Linked DNA regions of Styela clava. The protein of the gene in region 1 interacts with the protein of each later gene in a biochemical or structural test. Links are inferred from orthologs where the notes say so. Each region holds a gene or a part of one and is shown on either strand. Other genes may lie near its edges. The genes, in order: origin recognition complex subunit 2-like and origin recognition complex subunit 4-like.

The links.
Region 2: the proteins of origin recognition complex subunit 2-like (region 1) and origin recognition complex subunit 4-like form a complex in vitro, tested with the Drosophila melanogaster proteins (3 studies listed by BioGRID, with this or other methods). The link is inferred for Styela clava from reciprocal best matches to the Drosophila melanogaster genes Orc2 and Orc4.

What each region holds. Positions count from the first base shown.
Region 1 is NC_135262.1:2,454,630-2,467,783, reverse strand, and holds origin recognition complex subunit 2-like, read right to left. Parts: upstream 5,007-13,154; 5' UTR 4,625-5,006; coding exon 3,898-4,624; intron 3,329-3,897; coding exon 2,187-3,328; 3' UTR 1,149-2,186; downstream 1-1,148. Other genes in the region: mitochondrial-processing peptidase subunit beta-like, read right to left, coding at 6,489-7,910. UniProt on the Drosophila melanogaster protein: Component of the origin recognition complex (ORC) that binds origins of replication. DNA-binding is ATP-dependent, however specific DNA sequences that define origins of replication have not been identified so far.
Region 2 is NC_135254.1:23,096,122-23,108,577, reverse strand, and holds origin recognition complex subunit 4-like, read right to left. Parts: upstream 6,500-12,456; 5' UTR 4,336-6,499; coding exon 3,016-4,335; 3' UTR 2,258-3,015; downstream 1-2,257.

The DNA.
Region 1 (13,154 bases):
TTGTTTCAATTGTGTTTATGATTTTCGAATATATTCCTGCATGATACTTCGCATCGTTATTGTGAATGGTGGGATTTCAGAATTACGTTCATTTTTAGAAGAAGTAATTTACATATTTATCCCAAAACCGATAAGACGACTCAATCATATGAAAAACTACGACCTCTCCTCGTGTCGGGTACAACATTCACAGTGTTACAAAAGCAAAAGTGGAAAACAATAAGCCTTGTGACGAAACTAAAATTAACTGCAATTTCAACAAATTTCTTTTTAGCTAAAACATCATAATATGGTTTTAGTTTAGTTGGCATCAGGCGGGCCAGATTGAATTACCCAACGGGCCGGATTTTGCCCATGACAGGTTAAAGACTAGGTTGAGTAACCCGCCTATATTAATTGGTAGGCAACTTCAGTGATCAGAACTGCAAATTCAGAGTCATACTTCCCAGCCCTGTCATTTCTCTGGAGAAATGACAGCAAATTCAGAGTCATACTTCCCAGCCCTGTCATTTCTCTGGAGAATATCTGGTAAATAAATATGAAATAAATGATTGCTTGATTCCTGACTCTTGCAGCGTGACTCACAAAAACACTGTTAGATTGCGGCTTCCTTCACTACCCATATGAACATATAACTACTGACCTTGTGATCATAGACTGTTTAATAAGTTTTTCCCTCCTAACCTGAGAGGATCCCTGTGGCCCAGTCCGAAGCACATAAGTTCAATCAAGCCCTCCCTATCTCAGCGGTTCCCAACCAGGGGCCACTGGCCCCCCACAGCAGCTGGAGGGGGCCCCAATGCTAGGCGCAAAACTGATTTCACTTTACAAGCAAACTCTCCTATTCTTCCCAGTTTCATTGCTTGATAAGGTTATTTCACAGGGTGTTTTCATTTTATAGAGCATGAATTGTTTGAACTCAACGTGATTTAGAATCTACCAATCAAAATAACACTATGAATACCTCTGGAATGATAAACAGGGAGCCATGAGCACTATAAGCATCTAAAAAAGGGCCACATGCTATAATAAAAGGTTGGGCACCACTGATCTAATCTCTCTACGACTCAAAATATGCCTTGCACATGATGAGGTTATCAATCCTCTATCCAGATCACACAGGTATTTTTGTGAAGATTTCAACAAGATTCATTGCAATTCAAATAATATATTGTATTCAAGAGGCAGCATTTGTAGAAACAAAATACACGATTGATTGAATACAGTAACATTTCCCAGCTGAGGAGAACCCCCCCTCCCAATTTTGTTATTTTCAGGGGGAATTTTGCATAGTATTTGCTGTAGTACAAATACTAATATTCTTTATTTGCTTATTCTAATGCTTATTTATATTTACCTTATTTATTTATAATTATTATTACCTTAGAAAATTAATTACTTGTACTGTACCAAATCGGAAATGCAAAATGTACTTAATACGTTTGAAGAACCCACAAACGACTGGAAAAATAAAGCAGTTTTTATACATATTAAGAAAGGAATAAAGAGTTCCGAAATAGTCGGAAAGAGGAATTTAGAGTAAAATGTAAGGAGACTGGAATACAGTAATGATTTAAATAGTCATTAAACCTCATTGTGTGGCACAGCATCCAAATACACTTTCAAGTGGCAGTGGAAAGCAATATAATAAATAATGAGAAAATAAATAGAAGGTTGGAATAATTTACACAAAATTAAAACAACGGTGAGCAAAAAAACGCAAATATTCTGGGTCCCGAGAAACTAATTACCTTGCCTATCAGTAACTGGTTGTACAGAGCCTAATTCAGAGTGAAAATGGAACAAGAACATCAGTCAGTTCATTTTCTCAATTAACTGGAGGATGAACATCTCAAGTGTGTTCAAATAATTTAAACAAAATTTGAACAATGGTAAGCAAAAATATGCAAATATTCTGGTCTTTTCAAGAATATTATCACATATCAGTGGAGCCCAGACATGGGTGAAAAAAGCAACTGAAAATCAATCAATTCAGTTTCTGAACTGAAAAGATTCTGGTCTAGTTCACAAAAAATGACAGCGAACTTCAGTGAAAATAAAACATGAATATCAGAGTGAAAATGACGGTTTCTGAACAGTGGATATTAGGCGAACAAAGCTTGGAGGAGTGTGAAAACACCTCAAAAACAAGTAATCACCTTCCATTCTAACAAAATTCCTCATTCTCAAAGTGATTGATCTAAATATTCTTGCAAAGTAGCGTTATCGAGGGGAATAGAGAGGTATTCGCCACCGTCAATACCTTTTTTGATTTCAACAAGTTTATGGTCGAGAAATTCCGTAAGTTGAGTCCGCAGCGTTAGTTCGCTGTTGACGAGAAACTTTTCACGACACATCTGATACAAATCAGAAAAAGAGAGTCCGATATAATTACTCGATTTTGACTCCTCGATTTGAAACTCTGTGAGAAGTTTAAAAATTCCTCGAGCATTAGGAGTTAAACTTCTTGCCACATGGACGAGGCCGCTTAGAGCTAATGAACCACCAATACCAGTTCCACTGGTCAACATAAGAAGCGAATCCTCAAATGAAGTTTCGTCTTTATAAGGTTCGTACGTTGTTACATCGTACCAGAGCCATTTGAATCGACATAACTTGGATTGGTCCCATATAAGGGGAGCATTTATGTGGTCTATGGTTGCAATAACATGAATCCGTGGACACGACGCTAGGCGACTTAAAATATTTTGAGTCTTATTGTTTCGTAAAGTTGTTCCATCAATATTGTGAATTATCAAGAATAAATGATCAACAAACCCATTGTCTGTGTATTTTTTACATATTGCGTCAACTTGAGCCTGCTGTTGGCTCCCTCCGATGGTGATATTTACGTCCGCAACCTCGCAAATTGACGCCAAAATTGAGCGTATAATTAAACTCGGAAAATAACCATTTATAACAATTTTATCAAACTCTGAGAGCATTTTTTCACAAAATTCATGCACTAGGTGGCGTTTTGATCCCAGTCCGTATAGTAGAATATTATAATCGTTAAAAATATAAAACATCCATTTACGAAAGTATTCTTCATAGCCTTGAATCAGCCACTGGCGAGAAAGCTCGATTTTTTCTACTTTGCTGAACATATGCGGATTAGAATTTTTTAATCCCGCGATTTTATTGTTCTGTAATTCCTCTAAGATAGAATGCATTGTTTCTTGGTTCATTTGAGGTATTTTTAGTCGTGCTAGAGTTCGATCAGAAGTACTCGCACCCAATTTTCTTCCACTTTTATGAGCCTCGAAATAAAGCTCTGTTTCCGATGGCAAGGCAATTCTTTTTGATGGCTGCGGCACTGGGGTTTGATCTAAGAAAAATATGCCAGTTAAGAAAATGATAAATTAACAGTTGAGTTCACAAATATATGGACAAGAATACCATAACAAAGTAGTAGGCCTATGTGTGGTGTATGCAATCTTTAACAGTAGACTACCAGTACCGCAGTTTTCATGACTTCGTCTGACTACCAGATAGCAATGAATGCGAAGCCGGCACATCATTGCACAAAAAAGATCAAATGCCATAGATACCACAGCAAGTTTTGAAATAAATTTTAGCCTTCTAGGAAAATTACAATCTTTAAACACTATAAATTCTAGAGGCAATTAGTCCAAGAGCGATTTTTCAATAAGGTAACTACGAAAAAAAAATACCAACACATCCTGCTGTGCGCTAGGAATATGTTCGCCACAACACCCAGCGAACTGGCAACCGGACGAGAGGCCGTGGTTTGCCATATAATTACGGTAAGCAATCTTATCGGCTCTCCCATCCTCCGGGATAAATATGTAAATCATAACCTATCTAAAACGATTCATAAGTCCATGCTGATTCGCATGAGACATGAACTCAACCAAGATAGTTTAATTCGCAAACCTTGTCGTTCATCTTGTTCTTCCTCATCTTCACTATTTTCCTCTTCACTGGAGTCAGAATTATCGTCAACTTGTTGATTAGCTTGCATCTCTTGAACAAGATATTTTTTTGTGCGATTCGAGGTTCTTGTTGGTGTATCAAGTGCATCGTTGTTCGATTTTTTACCTGGCGTTTTAGATGAACTGTCGGTGTCATTTTCAGCGAACTTAACACTTGGTGTTTTAGGCTCTATTTCTGTGGCTGGTTTGGAAGGTGTCTTAGAAGTCTTCGATTTTTTCTTCGGCGTTTTGGAGTTACTTTTTTCAACCAATGGATCGTTATTTTCATTATTCGCCGATTGTTTTGCACTGGATACTTTTCTTGCAGATTCAGACGCTAGTTTCGACATTTGTTTAGCTCGTTTCGGAGTTTTAAAACCGTACACATCTACTCCTCCATATTGTACGTTACTTTCAAGTAGAGATGTCGGAACGAGTGACGTGATTTCACTCAAAATGTCTTTTTCTTCATTTTCCGCATATTTGACGCTTTTTTCTTTCTTTTTAGGGTTCTCAGAAGGCTTTTTCTTCTCAATTTTTGGGACATCGTTAAAGAACTCCGCTGCTATTGCCATAGAAGATCTTGTTTTTCGTTGGTTCTTGACTCCAAGCATAGTAACGTGATGCTCCACATCTTCATTTCCGACATGTTTTACAAGAACAGATCGTCGGCTTGGGGTTTTTGACATGGTTTATTGAACTGGTACGAAAAATTTGGAAATAAACCTTTCTTCTTCTTCCAAATTCAGCCGAAATTTTTTGAGGATTCCAGATGTTAAGTTTCCAAAAAATAGTTTTTCAAGTTTTTTCTTTGTTAGTGTGCGAAAAGAAAAAATACACAACCAAATGCTCTACAGAGGCAAGGCGAGAAATAGCATTCCCGCTGAGCAAAGTATTAAAAGCTTTTTGAGGACTTGCTCCAAGACAGGTCACACACATGTCCAACTAAACGCATCTATACAAGTTCAAGAACACTCAACTTTGTAACCAAATGTTTTTCAGAGGAACGCTGTGTCACTTCTAGGACAATTGCTGTCACTTATAGGACAATATTTCCACGGTGAACTGATAATTGTGAACAGTTTTTATGGAAATTTCTCCAGGCCAGGTCACAGTTAATGCACTCTTGATTCTTGAAGTTTTCTGAATATTGTGAGAATCTCCTTTGAGTGAAGCTTCTGTTGCATATAACTATTATAAATTATGTTAAATTAACTAAAATAACTAAGTTAAACAAAAAAGCACAACAGTTGAGCATTCAGAATTCAAATTGGAACATATTATGAGCAAATAATATATTTATGACATAACAATAGGAGATTTGACAGCAAATGAAAACTGAGTTTTATTTTAGTTATATGGAGTTATGGCTGACCTAGTAATGTCAAAGGATAGTTATTTTAAATCAGAGGATATTCAAATCTAAGAATCTACTATTCTGAATACATTATAAGATGATACTTTTAAATATGGAACGACAAATTTTATTATAAATTTGAGATCTCTTTTCTTCGATTCTATTTTATCATAGATTAGGATAAGTTGGAAGGTAATAACCTAGCTTCTTATCTGAACTTATCTTATCAGTAAGATAAACAGTACAAAAAAAAATGATCAGAGATTTTGTAACAATAACACCAACAGAATAGTACTCAAAGCTGAAATATCGAATAATACAATCATTTGATGAAAATTAATCAAGATTTTCTATTAATATAACAGAACTTGCCAACCCAGGTAATGAAATATCATACAGAATGGTCGCTAGAAGAGCAGAAAATTTGAAAGTAAGACGAGATCATGAATAAAATGAGTATAGGTATAGGTTGAATTGGAACAATATCCCACAAGTTAACCTTCAAAACACTACACGAGCTTGGACTTCTAGGTTAAGACATCGCTCTGAAGTGCGTGGACATCATTTTGAGCATCTATAAGTGGAATATAACATACCGTATATGCTCGTTTTACCGCCCGATCTTGATTAAGGGCCCGTTTGAATAGTCGCCCGTGTGAACAGAACATAAAAACAAATAAGGGCGCTAAGGAAATAAGAAGCGCTTTTGTCACAACGGATTAATGTCGTCAAATATTTGTCTTCAAAGATATCGTAATTTTTGTGTAGAATTTTACTTTAAAAATAACAAGCGCCCTTGCTTGAATAAGGGCCGGTTTGAATAAGGGCCCCGGTTAGTGAGTTTTTAAAATAAATATGGGCCCGGGCTACAAAACGAGCAAATACGGTATGCCTTTGAAAATCTTTGCACAAGTTATTCTTTTTATAAATAAATAGCTGTTTGACAAATTTTCCTTTTTTCTAGCGACTCGCACTGTATTACGCTATATTTATGAAACTTTTAGAGTTTTGATATAAGTAATAACCATAAATAACAGAATAAGTTACCCAAAAAACTCAAAGAAGGAAAAATATATCACCACCAATGACTAAAAAGAATCAAAATGCCCAAAACTGAGAACACTTTTCAATAAAAAACAGCAAAAGACAGAATTTTAAATTTTTTTAAAGTTATTTCTGCAGAATTGAGAGTCATTTTAGTTAAATAATCCAGAATGTACTTTGTACATTTTAGCACGAATGTTGGTGTACATTGGCAAAGCTTCTGTGGGTCCGATAGCCGCAACAGCGGGGTCTTGGTCGTAAACGTATTTTTGCATCGCATCTTTGACATCCTGGGTTCCGATTTGTTGGATTCTCATTGTCATTTCTGGCCACGGGATTCGGCGTCCGTAACATAACATCTGTCTTCCGATGTCTTCGCAAATTGGGGTCGTCCCGTCCATCATAATTGCCATGTTAGTAAGAAGCGTGTTTTTCGCACGCTCAACTTCGAAATCTGAGATTTGGTGACAGACTCTCATTAACTCATCTTGAATACGGACCGTACAATCAAACACATTTGCGTTATCTGTAACATAATAAATTCCCCATAGACCAGTGTCAGTGTACAAAGTATTGAATGACTGGAAGCTAACGCAAAGGTTTTCGTTTGCCATTCTACGCATGAGAGGATTCGGAAAATGAGCTCCGTTAGTCGAAGAGCGATCCCATGTTCCAATAATTTGATTCGCGATCATCAGTGGTATGGTGTCATAGTGATCCCATCCAACTCCTTCAACTGCAAGGGCAACATGAACATATGGCATCCTGTCGTCCCGATGTCGCATATCACTTCCAGTGAAGCGGCAAGGTTTAAGGCTATTTGATAGGGATTCTGCTACACTGGATTCCGTAGCTCCAAAGTATTGCTTCGCTAATTCAACCAGTTTGTCGTGGTCGACGCCCCCCGCTGCTGCCATGACCATTGAAGATGGCTTGTATCGACTTTGGATATACGTTACCAAATCATTTCGTGTTATCGACTTGATGTTCTCACTCGGCCCCAAGATCGTTAAACCCAGCGGAGTATTTTGGTACGCAGTCGCATGTAAATAATCGAAAACAACTTCTTGTTGGTTTTGTTCGATTTCTTCCATTTCCCTCAAAATCACGCCTCGTTCGCGCTCAATCTCTGCTTCTCCAAGAGTGCTGTTTTGAATAATATCAGCGAGAATTTCGACGGCCTGTGGTAGATCTTTCGAAAATGCTTTCGCATAATACACAGTCTGCTCACGAGAAGTATAAGCGTTAAGATGTGCACCCATGTTTTCAATCTCCAATTCTAATTCCAATTGAGAGCGATTTGATGTTCCTTTAAACGCCATGTGCTCTAAAAAGTGCGCAGTACCGTTGTTCTTCTCGGATTCGTAACGACTTCCAGCGTCAATCCATAAACCAACAGTACATGTCGGTAGATCAGAATTTTCAGTTGCAATTCGGAATCCATTGGATAAAGTTGTTACTCGTGTTTCTGGAGTATTGACTTGTACAACAGCTCGTGTTGCATCTCCGCGTTGAACAACCTGCTTCAGCTGTCTCGCAGGCTTGATTAAATTCTTTGCAAATCTTGAATACATTTTATAAACTGGATTTAACTAAAATATTACAACCCAAACTACAGGGGAAACTAAAAAAACAAAAATAATATGGCAAAATGGGAAGAAAATATTCTCACGAATGCTGGTGGATATTTTTTGTTTTAGACAGTATCGTACAGTTCTCCGATTGCAAGAATAGCCTCCACATTAGAGAAAATGGGTCTCGTGTAGTTTCATACCAAATGTACTTCTAGTGGGCGTAGCATAACAATTTTTCGATATGTCAATTCTAGCCCCCATCTGACTACGCCATCCAAAAATTACGTCACTACGACATCACAATCACGTCACAGAGCTTGCCAAATATACGTACAATCGCCCGAAATGGCATTAGCGCCTACAATAAAGCACTGACTGACGTTATCGATCTCTTTCCTATTTAAATCGTTGCGACGAGAAAACGAGAGAAAAAACTGTTCGATTTAGGATAGGATAGGATTTACATATTTATCCCGGGGGAGAGGAAAGCCGATAAGACGGTTTATCCATATGGCGAACCACGGCCTCTTGTCCGGTTACCATTCCAAGTCGGGTATGGGATTAGTTATATTGTTTGTTTTCGGAAGCGTGGACTTGGTGGTGGAGGAAGCCGTAACCGACCAGCGGTTACGTGAACCACCCAACGACGGCGAGGAGCCCAGCAATCCTCTCGCACATAACCATCCCTGCATGGGATTCGAACCTGCGAACCCATGCAGAGTAATTAGAGGTGCGGTGGCGAGCGTATTCCTAACGCTTAGCCCGTTGAGCCACACCGCCGCGCGATTTCGAGTGATCGTTTGCGCGTCTTGGATGGCAGTTCATATAGTTTAAAGGGCTCTATTACGTCACCGTGACATCGTAATGATGTAATTTTTGGATGACGTAGTCAGGTGGGGGTTAGGATTGATACATGAAAAAATTGTCATGCTACGCCCACTAGAAGTATGTTAGGTACGAAACTACATGAGACGTGAGAAAATCAATTACTGTTACTGGTATAACTGTGAGTGCTAACCCCTTCTTTATGAGACTGTCAGGGTCTTCAAATCGGCAGAGTGCAAAAAAAAATAAAAGGACAATCAAAAAAAATCACCATTCAGCCATTGGATTTCTAGGAAAAATAATGGGTCTCATGTAGTTTCGTATCTAACATACTTCTAGTGGGCATAGCATAACAATTTTTTCACCTGTCAATACTAACCCCTACCTGACTACGCCATCTAAAATTTGCGCCACAGTGACCTAATATAGCCCTTCAAACTATACGAACTGCCATCCAAGACGAGCACCCGAAATCGAACAGCTATTTCTCTCGTTCTCTCGTCGCGATCCCGGGTCTCATGTAGTTTAGTACCTAACATACTTCTAGTGGGCGTAGCATGACAATTTTTTCACGTATCAATCCCAACCCCCACCTGACTACACCATCCCAAAACTACATCAACACGACGTCACAGTGACGTAATAGAGCCCTTCAAACTATACGAACTACTATCCAAGATGCGCAAACGAGCACCCGAAATCAAACAGTTATTTCTCTCGTTTTCTTGTCGCAACGATTCCAATAGGAGAGAGATCGATAACTCTCAGTCAGCTCTTCATCGTCGGGGCCAATTTCATTTCAGGCGATTGTACGTATATTTGGCAAGCTCTATGACGTGATTGTGATGTCGTAGTGACGTATTTTTGGATGGCGTAGTCAGATGGGGGTTAGGATTGACATATCAAAAAATTGTTATGCTACGCCCACTAGAAAAACGTTAGGTACGGTACGAAACTACACGAGACCCGCGATCCCGATAGGAGAGAGATCGATGACATCAGTCAGTTCTTTAACTTCGGCGCGGTGGCTATTTCGGGCGATCGTACGTCTATTTGGCAAGCTCTATGAGGTGATTGTAATGTCGTAGTGACCTAATTTTTGAATGGCGTAGTCAGATGGGGGTTAGGATTGACATATCGAAAAATTGTTATGCTACGCCTATTAGAAGTAGGTTAGGTACGAAACTACACGAGACCCAAAATAATCCGGTACCCTATAAAAAAAATCAGAATAGCCATAGCAGTAGGTATGGCTGTATGGTCTGATACCGGTACTGATGGTACCGGTAATACGGTACGGTACCGGTACCAGTATTTCAAAGCTGAGCACGATGCGCCACACCGCCGAGCCTTGACATCCCGTCGCAGGATGTGTTCAAGATATACCGTAACGTATGTAATCAAACTTGTTGAATCTTGAAAATAAGCCTTAAACTTGGAGAATAGGGCAGCAAAAGAATACTAGCAAACGTCAACCAAAGGACAGCAGAGCCAACCATGCATGTAATTCGACCTTTCTTGATCTTTTCATGACCCACGTGATAAAAGGTTGTTATCAAAATATATGCTTGGATTAATCTAAATGCCTACTAGAAGTCATTCAGTTTTAAGTTTTTTTCGAATTCATTTGAACTTTTTGTTCTAGTTTTACAATAATAATTAGCGCTGAATTACTGGAAGATAAGTGAAATACAAACACTAAAAGCGCTATTGATCTGGAGGATTTCACCTCCAAGGTTGTATCTACACAAAAATATCCCATACTGGTAACACACGAGCGAAATTTACGTCAAATAGAATGCATTAATATCTTTGGGGATACCTGTATGACCACGGAAAAAACGAATGAACAAAGCTTTAATTTTTTCTCAAAATTCGCCACTACAAAACCCTCAATGCCTCAGACAGAATACTCCGCTACCGCTACTGTCAACTGTCAGGTGCTCCGTGGCCCAAGTTTATGTGCATTGGTGTTTTAAAGGTAAGTAATTTAAAATAGCGTGGGTCACGTTAAGAATCATTGCAAGGACAAGCAAGTTCATATTATGCCATGTGTGATGAGAGAAGATTTACATATTTATCCCGGGGAACAGGGAACTGATAAGACGGTTGAATAATATGGCGAACCACGGCCTCTCGTTCGGTTACCATTCCATGTTGGGTATGGGATTAGTTAGCCAGTTATTTGTTTTCGGAAGTATAGACTTGACTTAAAGCAATTTAACGCAGATTGAGGAATCCGAAGTAATTTAGCGTGACAAATAAAAATAAACAATGGCTGTGTTAATAAAAACACACTGGTGAATTTTTTTACACATTCTGTTCATTTTTATGCCTATCGCAACTCAAACCATCCACCTCCAAACATCCAGTTTGCCTAGAATTACATCTTTATATTTATATAAGATTTTAATATACAATCTCGGGTTGTGGAACATAGTTACAGGTTTGAGTGTGTAGGTACAGTGTCGAATGGAGCCAGTGCTGTGAATCCCTTGGTTACGTCCTTCCAGGACCATCTATAGTGGGCCTCGCGTCAGGTGTAAATCAACATGTACTCAATAATAATTCTATACTGCATGAGGTTTCCTTCACACATGCCGTGTGAAGTTATTTTGATCACGATTTAGTAGTTAGTTGAAACGAAATAAAATGTTTTAAGACGAATTAACTTCATTTTACAAAATTTTAATTTTTCACACTTTTACCCAGACTAGGTGCCCGTCTATCAATTTTGCCTATGGCTCCCAAAAGTTAACATAGGTTACCAAATATATCCAGGACACACGTTGCTTATTTGGCCATCGTCAGCATGCCCTCAACAAGACTTGCTCAATCAGCTTTAGGCTTGGGATTTAGGCTATATATATTTATCGCGGGGGAGAGTAAATTCGATAAAATGGTTTAATTATATGGCGAACCACGGCCTTTCGTTCGGTTGCCAGTCCATGTCGTGTATGGGATTAGTAAGCCAGTTGTTTGTTTTCAGATGGACTTGATCCTTGCAGCCCTATATATACACAACGCGGCCTCATTCTTGCGTGGGAGACTGTGATGAACCGAATTTTATGTCCTATTAAAATAAAAGCGGTCACAACCACCAAATCCTTATTGAGTGTAACAATATAACGAGCAGGGAAACCGCAGAATTGTTGATTATATTTGGAAGACAGGAAAAAGTCACAGTTTTTCCATATCGTATAGGTGTATACAGGGTGACCATAAAGTCCCTTTATAATTTCAAAATGAAGTCAGTCCTCAATATATCTCAACCAGGTTTGTTGTTTTTTAATCAGTAAATGTTCCCACAGCAAAGTTTGAAAATGCGCCCCCTTGATCGTTAACTGGAAATTTTTAATGACTGTTGTTGAATTGAGGTACTTGTATGTTGTTATTCTAGTAAAAATACGAGTTTCAATTATTTCCAATTTGAAATTATTTCATTGAAACATTTTACGATTTTAACTTAACTTTTTAAGACTTCACGGACACCCTATAGGCCTATATTATAATACCATTTGACCTATTATTTCAGGTACCAAAGTGAAAATTTATTATTGCCAAAATCTGAAACTTATTTCGCGCAAATCTCAGTACACATTTAGAATTATAGTCAAATCAGCAATAAAGTGTTTATACGAGGCGTTTTTAAACCTTCACGTTCCGAACAAATAGCATATACTATATACATTCATATCATACTTCTGCCTTACGATACCATTGCGTATACGTTAGTTCTCTCATATGACGATTCCACGTTGTACGTACGTTTGTACAATGTTGTCTCGTTTTTTCAATTGCTTGTTTATTCATTATATTTACTTCGTATATTTTACTTCACTTACACTGCACATGTATCTGACTTGTATCTATCAATATGAGCACTTGTAATACAGTGTATTACTAGTGTATTAAATACACTATTGTACCGTGAGGGGGGATGTAGGGCTGGGCATTTTTGAATACTTGGTGATTTCAGAATCAAATTGAATATTTTTTTCGAAGCGAATCTCGAATACTTGGGAGATATATAATTGTATGTGATTTTTTTTTATTGTAATTGGTCCTATCAACACATGAATTACTGAAAACGTAAAATACATCACTCAGACAGATTGCTGATCGTTAACACACAATAGGAAAAACGTTTTAATCAGTAACTAACTACAGAAACGACCATTGGCGGAAGGAAAAAAAAACAAGATGGCGGCGATTCGAAATTATTTGCTCTGAATAACATAACATACGGTTCGAAATGTCCAACCCTAAAGCGATGTTGATATTTCTGAGTGCTTTATGTTGTATATTTTTGGGACAACAGAATAGCTGAGTATTTCGTCAATATTCTTAAGACAGTTAATAGTCGTTTAGCGAGGAAGACGGTCTTTCTATTACTGTCGATCGCCGTCGTCTTTAAAC
Region 2 (12,456 bases), on another chromosome or scaffold:
TTCTAAACTAAACTGAAGCTCACCGGAAGACATAATGACAATTAAAATAATTGATTTAAAACTAATTTTTGGAAACACAACTAAAAACTGACTAATTTAATGCAGGGATGTCCAAATCGAATTTAAATTCAAATATCGCAAACTTCAAATACTGTTTTTTCGTGTTTATAATAATCCCAAATATGGCGCACATATCCTAGGCGTCGTCGTCCATGTGTGGTTCGGCAATATATTACAGCTGACATGAAAGAATTTCGATAAACGCCAACTTGAAGAACTTATAAGACTTCGAGGACGTTTTTGATTGAAAATATTTTCTTATCGGGTATTTTAACTTAGTCGAGATGGTTTAGGCGTCCTCGGCAAATTGTGTCTTAATTAGTTGTTTCCATCCTCAGTTTCGATAGTGACCGAACATAACAGGAAATTTTTTCATTTCTTCTAATTTAGCGCGTATAAAATAGCTCTTAAATAGTATTTAATATCTATCGCGGATTTCGTCGGCATCCGGCATTGATAACAACATCAGTTCAGTTAAAGTTAGCGGTATTCATTTACAAACAAAAATACATAACAGCCGACATGAAGACGTCCTCGACGACATGAAGACGGGCGGCGTTACATTGCGTCAAGATGATGAAGCACGAGAGTATTCGTCACAAGAGAGAGAGAGATGGCATTATGCTATTGTCGCTTTCAATTCGCATCGACAGCGCGCGATTTCTACTTTTTTGAGATAACATATCTCATTTTCGAATACAAACATATACGCGGGGTTAGCGATTATTACGTAACTATCAGCAAAAAGGTATAATTGAAGTCGGGCGGGCGGTGTTAAATTACGTCGAGGTGATAAAGCACTGGAAAAAAGTAGTTTTCACCGGATTGTTATGACCGTGGAACGACGTTGTTTTAACATAGAACAATAATAAAAAAAAACGAAATTCAAACGGGGGACACGACCCCCGTAACCCCCCCGCTGGTTGCGCCACTGAGCCTATGGGCATATTTACTTGGCTAACAAAGACAGTCCCCGAACTCTTTATCGTAACAGAACTAAAATAAGGAAAATCAAAATAAAACTAGAGCTGCGTGCAGCTTTAACAGGCTTCCCGCGTAAAAAAAAACTGAAGACGCGTTTTGCTCACTGGAGCGTGAAAGCGTGGTCAGTCATGCATAAAATTCGCAATTTATGATGGGGGACTTATTATCTGCATGTGATGTAAATTTCAAGTCTCTAAGTAGTGTCGTTCTCAAGAAGAAGATGAAAATGTAAAATCCTATATTGCTTACTGGAGCGTATCGCCGAGGTCACTCATGCGTGTCCTTGACATATCGTATCCGGAACATGTCCATTAATCATTGTTATGAATTTCAACCCAATAGCATGTATTAATTTTGAGAAATCGCAAAAAAACTGAAAACGCGTTTTGTTCACTGGAGCGTGAAAGCGTGGTCAGTCATGCATAAAATTTGCATTCCATTGCTAGCTGAGAAGTTCTGCACATTTGAGGTGAATTTCAAGTTTGTAGGACCAATTTGAAAAAAAAATAATAATAATAATAAATAAATAATAATAATAAATAATAATAAAACACAGGAATACAATAGGTTCCCTGCTGACAAGCAGCGGGAAGCCTAATTATGCTCTAAACCTAATCTGGCACACATACTACGAGAGTATGTTATTTCTACCCAATGTATTATTCAATATCAGTATCAACTATTAATGCATCTACGATAAATATTTATCACCTCTGTCAACTTATTACTAATAAACTGTGAAACACAGACACCCGAATACCCCAATTCTATAGCAATAAGTACTAGCAGATAGTTTATTAGATAACAGTATGTACATTTAATTTGTTTTCACAATGCTTTCATGGATTCAGGGCCTGCTTGTTCAAAGTTTTGTAATGATTGAAATATTTATAAAAACTGAATTAATTTCCACGAGAAGTACCTACATGAATTTATTGATGCAAGTAATTTTCTGGTATAACATGACCTGGAATCAGTCGAATGTAAACAATTCAATATCAGAGATTTACATTACCGTTATGTATCAGAATAGTGAATAAAATACTATACTCACATCGCTCATAATCCCAAAACCCAACTATGGGTAAAATGTGAAGTGTAGCCCAGTCTAGTGTTGAAGCAGAATTACATTAATATTTATTATTTGTCGAAAAATAAGATTCTGAATGAAAGAAAATTTATTACTAGACAATAACCATATACTGATTAGGAATCTGAAAATGAATATAGAAAATAATTTTTTTTTGAACATAGCAGACACAGGTACTAAAACTTCGAACAATCTTCTATCATGTATGTTTAATTGGATTTTGATGTTATATGGTAAAAGATGACAGGATTAATCAATAACCGCTGATCATTGGGGGCAACAACATCAATCTGTTGGAAAATGTATGTTCAAAAAACATTTTTTATCTGAAAATAACAAATAATGAATTAATGATCTCATTTCCCAAATCTTTATTTTTTTGTCAAGTATGGTTTCGATGCAAATTTATAAAAAAGCAAACATGCCCTTATGAAGTACGGTACATTATTTGTTCCTCATTGTGTGTATTGTAAAACAAAAACACATAATCATTATTATCGTAGTCCAGGGTTTCCCAAACTGGGGTCCGTAACGACTACACATGGGGTCCGCAGCGATATTGAGAGTCTGAAACATATACCGGTACATTTAACGTATATCCACTGTTACATAGACATTCATAAACGAGATAAAGTTGTAAGTTAACGCAATCACAAATGGTAATGGTTACGAGACCTTAACAATGGGAGTCACATAAATTGGTATAACATGAGGGTCCGTAAAAAATAATATCCACAAATAGGGGTCCGTGGCCCAAAAAGTTTGGGAACCTCTGCCGTAATCTATAATGTTAATATTGCCAGAAAATACTTCTCAAAGAAGGAACAATTCTCAATACTATCTGTGTGTGTTGTTATGCCCTCATAGCTTGTTCATACAAATTATTCAAGTGATGACATAGCCCATTGCCTTAGATCAGTAGGACAACCATTGTATTTGTTTATCGCTTCATGAAGTTGGCTTTGTTCGATTAATAGAGACATCGGCCTGTATTCCTTTTGAAGTTTGGATCCAACACCAGCATGAACACCAGTTGCACTTGAATACATAGGTTTAATCAGTTCCAATTCTATCAAATGCTCATAGGCTTTCATGACAACCTGTTTAGAATAGTTTTGCAAGATATGGGATCTTCTTTTCGCAAATTTAATATATTCATTATAAACCATTTGAAAATTAAAAGGCTCTGCGTAGATATTATTCAGGTGGTGCATTGCAATAACCAGACAAAGTTCCAAGACAGAAAGTCCATGTAGTACATTTGCTTTGAAATCACAATGTAATGTATTTATTGCATCGACTATTTCACCTGCAGTATCTGATGGCTTTGCAAACGGATCTAATTTAAACAATACGAGTGCAAGCGCAGTGTACAACGAAGAAACTTCCTTGCAAATATCAAACTGAAATTGAAGTGACCGAAGCACTGATGAATCAGATGTAATTTTTTCAACAAAATTATTCCACTGCTTCAGAAATTTATTTTTCTCATTCTTGTTTCCAGCAAATGTTTTAATATCATCCGCATTGAGAGTGAGTAAGTCCTTGAAAGTTGCTACATATTGATCAAAATTACTTCCATTATGAATATATATTTGTCTATGTGAAAACCTCGATTTTACTCTTTTTTCTAACAAATCCATAACATCAAGTCTACAAGTGAGACCTATTACTGCCATAGGTGTAGTACCCGCCTGCGTAATATCAAAAAGGTTATACAACAGGGTTTGATTTTTATGCATAGCAAAAAGCTCAAAATTGTCCAAAACGAAAAGAATAGGGCAAGAAGTTGACGATTTGCCTGTCCGCAAAGCTTCCAATAAAAATGCTAAATTTTCCGAAAAAGAACCAAACACGCGATCTCCAACTGTATTCTCAAGATGTAATAGTCTTGTAATTTCTTCTAATGCAATTCTGTCATCAGTTTGAATTAAACCATTTAAATGTACTTCCATCAAATTTTTCCCTATGTTAACATCTTTTTTAATGTTTGTTAAAGACTTTTTCAGTAATGTTGTCTTGCCAGATCCGCTTGGACCAATAATAAGAAGTGAATTGCTTTCTCCCAATTCAACTGTTCGTTTTAATAACTGTTCTATGTTTAGAAAATATTGATTCATATCCTTGCGAATATTTTGAGGTGTAGATAACCCAGCCATTCTTTTCCTGATTAAGTCGTGTGCTGAACTCAAGAGGCTCATTATTATGTATGGCTGTATAGTGTAATTTGATGGAACAGAATTAAAGAATATCTGGTGAACAAAAAAATGAAAAATAAAAATTTTTGCATACAGTCAGACAGTCAAGCACAAAAAATAAAAAAAAACTATTACTGCATGCTGACATACAGACATAGTACAGTCAGACAGTAGGCTAGTAATGAAATGAAGACTGCATCCAAAAATCAGAATTACATACATACCACCTTAGTCAGACAAATAAAATGATTTCCAATAGGATTACGATTGACAAACTGACAAGGAAGCCACTTGACAAATTCACATAAATATTTTACCTATACAGTACGGCACACTATACAAGTCGGGTGACATTGTCCTAATTCAGAGAAACCCATTTTACAGATGATCAGACACCCCTCCTTAGGGAGACGTCTGGACATTGTTGTCCCTCAATATCGGTAAAAATACAGTATAATAAAGTTGCGCCAAATACTACAAATAAGCGCAATTTAGTAACGTCATCATTGAATTCCTCGGAAAAAAATAATCCGATTTATCGAAAGAAAAAATTTTTACCGTAGCATTTGAGAGTTTTTAGCAAAAAACAGCAATTTTGGTCATGTGGCGGCCGCGATTAATTTAGAATATTATTGAGACAAGCATGGCGCGATATGAAGCATCTAACGTGATCCCAGACGCCCCACCTTTGTGAGACACATAAAGTGTTTGTTTTTATTGAGCCAAATGGAGGGAAATTCTTGGAATTTGGATAGTGTGCTGTATTGCTATAACAGTATAATAGAGGCTCTAGTTACTGAGTTAGGATTTTTTTTTTATGTGGTAAAAACAGGAATACTCCAATATTCATCACATTACATAAAATGTTACCATCCAATAAGATCCCCATCACCATTGTATGTTCCATTAATTCAGCATCGGTATTGCTATTTCAGTGGCTCCCAAACTTTTTTTTGTCGCGACCCCAATTTTCATAAAATCAAAGCCCACAGATACTCGCGACCCACAACTAGAAACGTTGAGCAACTTCAGAAATCAGTACTATGTATCATTTTAAATACCTCAATGGGAACAATGTACCAGTATATCTACTGTAAATGGACGTTGACGATGAACATTGGCCCAAAAATATATGAACGAGTCCGTCAATGCGCCAGAAAACGGGGGAACTTCGGAAGATTTGATAACACATGGCATGATATGAAAACCACAGTGTAAAAATCTCTTAGATCAGGATTTTAACGGTTCTTTAGCGAAACCTACAGTACTAGACGGACTTGATAAAATGTGGTAGATTGTAACTGTAAGGAAGCTTATGATACTTCGGAAATAGTGAGATTTGGAGATAGTAAGATGCTTCTAAATATACATAAATTTTAAATCTTATTTAGTATATTCCAACAGTGTCTTTATTATTTTGATTACAATGTTAACATAATACAGATTGCTCCATTAATAATTTTAAATTAAAACGGAGCATGAGAGTAAAATAGGGAAAACGTGAACGAAATCACATCTTTCAGGTGCCTTCTATTATGCTAAAACTTGTTGTGGTTTTGTGTTTGACTACTCGGAACGCTTTGAAAGTATGTATGAAACTTCTGAATACGTAATATCGCAATACGAAAACGTTCACTTTTATGTGGGGTCAATGTGGGCAAAACACGCAGCCGACTCATAGATTTTGGACACGTGCGCAAATTAACAAAGTGCTTTCGCAACTGATCAAAACCTACAGTGCCAATACTCCGCCAAGACACCGCCTGGTAATCAATACCAAACATGTCAAACACCTAACTAAGGACCGTTCGCCAAATAAAGCAACTTTGCTTTGTATCTTCCAAACCAAGCGGCTACACCAGTAGTTCTCAAACTTTTTTTGCTCACGGGGCACTAAGCAAATGAAAAATATCCTGCGGCACACTTGTAACAAAATAAAGTTATCCTTAAACAAATTATTCTGCAAATGTTAATGAGATGTGTGTGGTCTGTTTTGAGAAACAATTGAAATGATGTTCCGTCGCTCCCTTTTTTGCTTTTAATTTCAGTCATAGTAGAAAATCACTCTTACTACTGTACTACATCGATAAGGCAAATGTAATTATATTACCAGTCTAATACCGGATACTCAAGTCTCACAAGCTTGCCCGTTGCATGCATTCCAATGTCTGAATGTGTAACACGAATAGCTTATTTTCTAAAATTTCAAAAAGCTCCGTTGCACACCTGAGAAGCTCTTGCGACACACTAGCGTGCCGCGGCATACAATTTGAGAAACGGTGGGCTACACAGATACAAAATAAAAAACCAACGTAATTTCTCGCAGACTGGCAATGGTCTAAATCCAATTCGCTTACCAGCGGGTCTACAATTTATTTGAATGTAAGATGATCAAAAAAGCTATAAAAAGAATCGAGCCATTCTGGCACTGTTTGGACAACAAATGGTCAAGATATTGCTAAAAATCCTAAGTTTGGAAATTTTACGGTATTTGCCAGCAAAAATTTCACTATACAATTTTCAAATTCTATTCACTTGTGTGTGTATGTTCGGCAGAAGTTAGGCGACCCCAAAAAATCGGATGGGGTCGCGATCCACAGTTTGGGAACCACTGGTCTCATTTATTCAAATACCGGTACCGGTACATATTACCGGTACAGTATTATCCAGTTGGTTGTATCAAATTTTCATGTTGTTAATGTCATAAATGAACAATAGTTACATAAAAAATGACAATTAGCAAATGAAAATTTTACACTATTTCTAATAGACTAAATTAAAACAAAATAATCTTATCTTACATCTAGTTCTGTAGTTCAGTACCGGTAGTTACAGACTGCTGGACTGTACGAGTTCTTAATCATCATACAAAACTAAAACAACGCAAATTGAGGCTCTCAACAGAGACTGTATCTAAATTCCCATTTATCCTGTAGTACCGTAGGCTACTGGTACCGGTACCGGTACCGGTACGGTACTGTCTGACTGTAGTATCTGACTTTAAACACACATAATTATTCAAGCTAATCTAGTCAAATTCTAATAGCTGAAAGACTGCTTAGACTTTAACCGTATTTACGCTTTAACAAACTGACAAAATTCCTAACAACTACCGGTACGGTATGCAAATTCCAGTGATACCGGTACCGTAACCCTTCAGGGGACGGACTGAAAGTAGGCACCTAAAAATTAGGCACCTATTTATGCACTTCGGAAAAAGGGTAAAATGGGCGTAATATCTTTTAAAAAGACAATGAATTAGGTAAAAATAGTCAAATTAAACATTGAACACGCAAAGTACAACAAGTAAACCCAAAAATGATACTGTAGTTGAAACGTAGTACTAAAAGTCGCACGCGCTCTCTCACCAAATACGCTAGGCACTTCAAAAAAATGAAGAATGTAATCAGTCAGTAATCAGTAATTTATTTTTTCATCATGCTGAAAAATACGAATTCTACATACACAATTTAAAAGAAATATATAAAAAAAATCGCATTTTAGGGTGAAGGGAGACGCCGAAAACCAAAGCTGGTTATCGAGCGGCGACACCGTTGAGAAAGTCTAACAAAACGCGATAAATACAATAAATTATCACCAATAACAATAAAAACCGAGAAATAAAAATATAAGTCACATTAATTAGCCTGAGTGAATATCCGATGAATGCACTTGAGTCTAGTAGTGGTATTGAAGAATAATAAACCCGTCCTGGCGCGGCGGTGTGGCTCAACGGGCTAAGCGTTAGGAATACGCTCGCCACCGCACCTCTAATTACTCTGCGTGGGTTCGCAGGTTCGAATCCCATGCAGGGATGGTTATGTGCGAGAGGATTGCTAGTCTCCTCGCCGTCGTTGGGTGGTTCACGTAACCGCTGGTCGGTTACGGCTTCCTCCACCACCAAGTCCATGTTTCCGAAAACAAACAATACAAGAGAGCTATGCTCAAATATATGGACACGTAGCGCCCCCTAAGGGCAATAATTCTGATGCCGTCATTGCAGTAAAAAAAAGTAATAGCCTTCTGAAGAAAATTTTTATCTTCAACCACTGAAAATTTCAAAGCAATTGGTCCAGTCATCACAGAGAAAAGCGACTTTTTAAAAACGTGTCAAAGAACAAGAACAAGAACAACAACAACAACATAATATTGAAACGATCGCTATGTCCACTACGTGTCCAATAACTTATCCCACAACCGACTTGGAATGATAACCGGACGAGAGGCCGTGGTTTTTCCATATGGATAAGCCGTCTTATGGCTTTCCTCTCCCCCTGGATAAATATGTAAATCCTAAATTGTTACAGGAACCGGTTATGACTTTTCATGCACTTTGGAAAAATAATGAAATGGGCGTAATACCTTTTGAAAAGAAAATGAATTAGTTAAAATTAGCCAAATTAAATGTTGAACACGAAAAATGCAACCAGTAAATCCATTAATTAGGATTAAAACGTAGTTTTAGAAGAAGTCGCACGCGCTTGATCACCACATACGCTAGGTACTTGGAAAAAGAAATAAATCATCACTAATAAAAGACTATAAATATAAAATATAAATGCTAGTGATACTAGGTGAATTTTCGATGAATGCATTTGAGTCTGGAAGTTTTATGCATGAATTATAAATTGGTACAGGTAGGCACGATCGACAAGGCAATTTTATAGGAATTTAGGAAAAAGGGGGAAAATGGATGTAATAACTTAATAAAATAATGAATCAGTTAAAAATAGTCGGATATGATATAGAACAGATTATAGATAGACCATGCAAGGTGCAAAGGGTGAACCCAAGAATGCGGGTTGTAACGTAGTATTAGGTAGGGGTCCATGCTCTTGATCACAACATATCCTTCGCTCTTCAAAAATGAAAGGAGGCTAATCACTAATAAAAGACGATAATATGAATATATTGGTGCTACTGATTACCCTAGTCATAGTTGAATATCCAATGTATGCACTTGCGTCTAGTTATTTTGCTCAGGAATATTAAATTGCCACCAGCTGGCACGATTAGGCCCTTTTTAGGCATCCCGGAAAAGATGAAAATGGGTGTAATCGTAAATATATGATGTAATAACGTCTGAAAACGTAATAAATACAGCCAAGTTCAATGTGAACATCTAACCTAGGGTCACCATATTTGAAAAAGCAAAATTCCGGACAGTTCATGACCCAGTGGCGGCGCATCAATAGGGCCAACCGGGGCAATGCCCCGGTTGTTTTTTCGGTATAATAAAAAATATTGGAAAAATACCTCAATATCGGTTGCACAGACTGTCTACACTAGCCATATTCTCCCGATATGGTTCATTTTTCGCTCGCAAAGCCTTCGCCGAACGTCGACGGGGCGACGCCGATTTTGCCCCGGTTGCTCATTGTATATCGTATTCTCTCTTTTATCTTCCACTCGCCGCGTTTGTCTCGTTTGTTTTCTGTTTCTTTTACTAAATCATCAGGGCCGATCGGGGCTAGCCCCGATATTATGACGACACAATGCCGACGTTTCTTACAACAACGTGTTGACTTATTCACGCATTCCTTCTCGTTCGTTGGTTGCTTGAAGAGTTGATAGTTTCCTCGCCTTCGTTTTTGTTGCTTGTTTCGCTATTTGAATCAGTTAGAGACCTTTAGTCCATTTGCTTTCGATTTTCCACATTCCTTTTGAGCTCCTCACTTCTTTCCGGCTTCGCATTTCTTAGCCTTAGACCTCATAATGAATAAGGTTGATGCACTACTTCGCACTCCGTTTTCGCAGCTCCCGCTGGAACAAAAACTAGAGGTACAACGTCTTGGGCCTTATCAACCAAAAAATTGTTCACTGGAACAATCCCATGACGGAGGAAAGCGTCGGCGTACATTCTGCGCAGAAACTTGGTATAAAAAACACGAATGGTTGTGTTACAGCGAGGACAAAAATGCACTTTTTTGTTTTTATTGCCTACTTTTTGCTACCGCCCGTGACTCACGTTGGTGTAAATTTGGTTTTAGAGATCTTAATCATCTTTCCGAGCGTGCCAGGGATCATCAATCTTCTATGGAGCATCTGGACAATGCAGTAAAATACCGAACATTCGGAAATGTTATTATTGCAGCACAGTTGGATGAAGGACGCGCGGTTTCTATTCGTCGGCACAACCAAAACGTCGAGAAAAACCGCCATGTTCTCGGTCGATTGATAGATGTTTTGAAGTTCATTGGTTGTCACGGGCTGTCCCTCCGTGGGCACGATGAACGGGCTGGCTCTTCTAATAGAGGGGTATTTTTGGATATGGTGGAATACACCGCATCCCTAGATACAGTATTGAGAGATCATCTTGATGCCGCAACTGTGTCGAAAGGGACATCTAAGGATATCCAAAATGATTTTCTCGACTCAATGTATAAAATTTATTTACAACATTTGGCGCGGCAGTCATGAGTGGGTGTTCAAGTTTATATAAAAGAAGATTTTCCTCGTGCGCATTTTTTACATTGTTATGCACACCAATTTAACCTCGTTATTAAAAATATGTGTCTTGATACCCCTCTCGTCCGTATATTTTTTGCAAATGTTTCGGGGTTTTCTTCATTTTTTTTTCGTTTCGCCGAAGCGCTCTGACCTCCTTCGCCAGATATGTAGCCGCCGTCTTCCAGCTTGTGCACCAACACGTTGGAACTTCCAATCACGCGTGGTGCAGGGCGTGTCCGAAATTAGGTCTGAGCTCATTGAGTGTTTCAATGGCATTCAGAGCTCTCCGGTTTGGGACGAACGCTCTGTGAGGGAGGCGGCAGGTCTAAAGTGTCTGCTAGAAGATGGTGAGTTTTCATTTTTTCTCGCTTTTTTCTCCACAATATTCTATCACGTGGATGTATTATACGGCGCATTGCAGTCAAGGCTAATGGATGGAGCGTCTGTGCAGTCGTGTATTTCAGACTTCTGCGATGCTGTATCTCGTATTCGGGAAACAATAAAATACGACGACACATGGAGTGCTTCTTTACGCCGCGGGCAAACAACGCAGCGTTTGATTTTGTCTGCAAAGGAATGCTGTGACATTCTGGTGAATCAAATAGGCGATCGTCTGCGCACTGAACACCTTGCCGCGTTCTCTTTGATGAACCCCAAAAATTTTTCAAAATTTGCACGTCAATTTCCCATCCATTTGTTGGCTACTGTCTCCAAATTTTACCCCATGATAAACGTGAGTAAATTGGAAAATGAATTGCGATGTATATACACCAATCAAACTTTTTTGAACATCACATCAACTTGCGCGCTCTATGGGTTCCTCATAGATAACACTCTAGAGTCTAGTAACTACTTTTGCGGCGTCTGCAAAATTTCTGGACATCATTTTGACGACGCCTATTTCTTCCGCCGACGCAGAGCGAACATTCAGTAGGCTGAAGCGTATTAAAACGTATCTCAGAAACACAATGAAGCAAGATAGATTAAATTCCTTGGCTGTTTTATCCATTCACAGAGACGTTATTCCAGGATGCATGACTTTAATCAGCGCGTTATTGAGCATTTTGCTTCCAAGAAACCGCGGCGTGTTGCATATATGTTCAAGCAGTAGAAGTCTAGCAGCATATATATCTATGAGTGAGCGACGCATGTCCTTATCTTTGCATTAACTTTCCTTTCTTCATAGTAACGTTTTAAACCTTATTTTAGGTTTTGTCTGCTTTCCCGAAGTTTCTGTTAATATGTCATTGTATTTATCTGGGTAAATATTGCCTTTCCTTTTGAAAGAGGTTTCAAAATAAACTATGTCTATATTTATTAATCCCTTGACTTGGACCGGTTTTAAAGACACTTTCTTATCGTTAAAAATTGTCGCTTTTGCCGATTGGTTGTTACCGATGGAATGGTTTTTATACTCATAAAATGATGGGAGAACTTACAGCGCTCATCCTGTCCCCGTAGATGGGGGTGACTTGGTCCCGCAGTAGCTTGCCCCGGTTGTCAAAATGACCACGCTCTGGTCACTGTCATGACCTCGTAGTAAAAAATATGAGCACGGTACGAAATAACAATGTTCTTTATTAGCAGTGTGCACAGTACGATTGCAGATGCAGTAAAATTCCGGATTCCGGACATTTAAGCATTTTTTAAATTCTTCCCGGACGCAAAATTTAA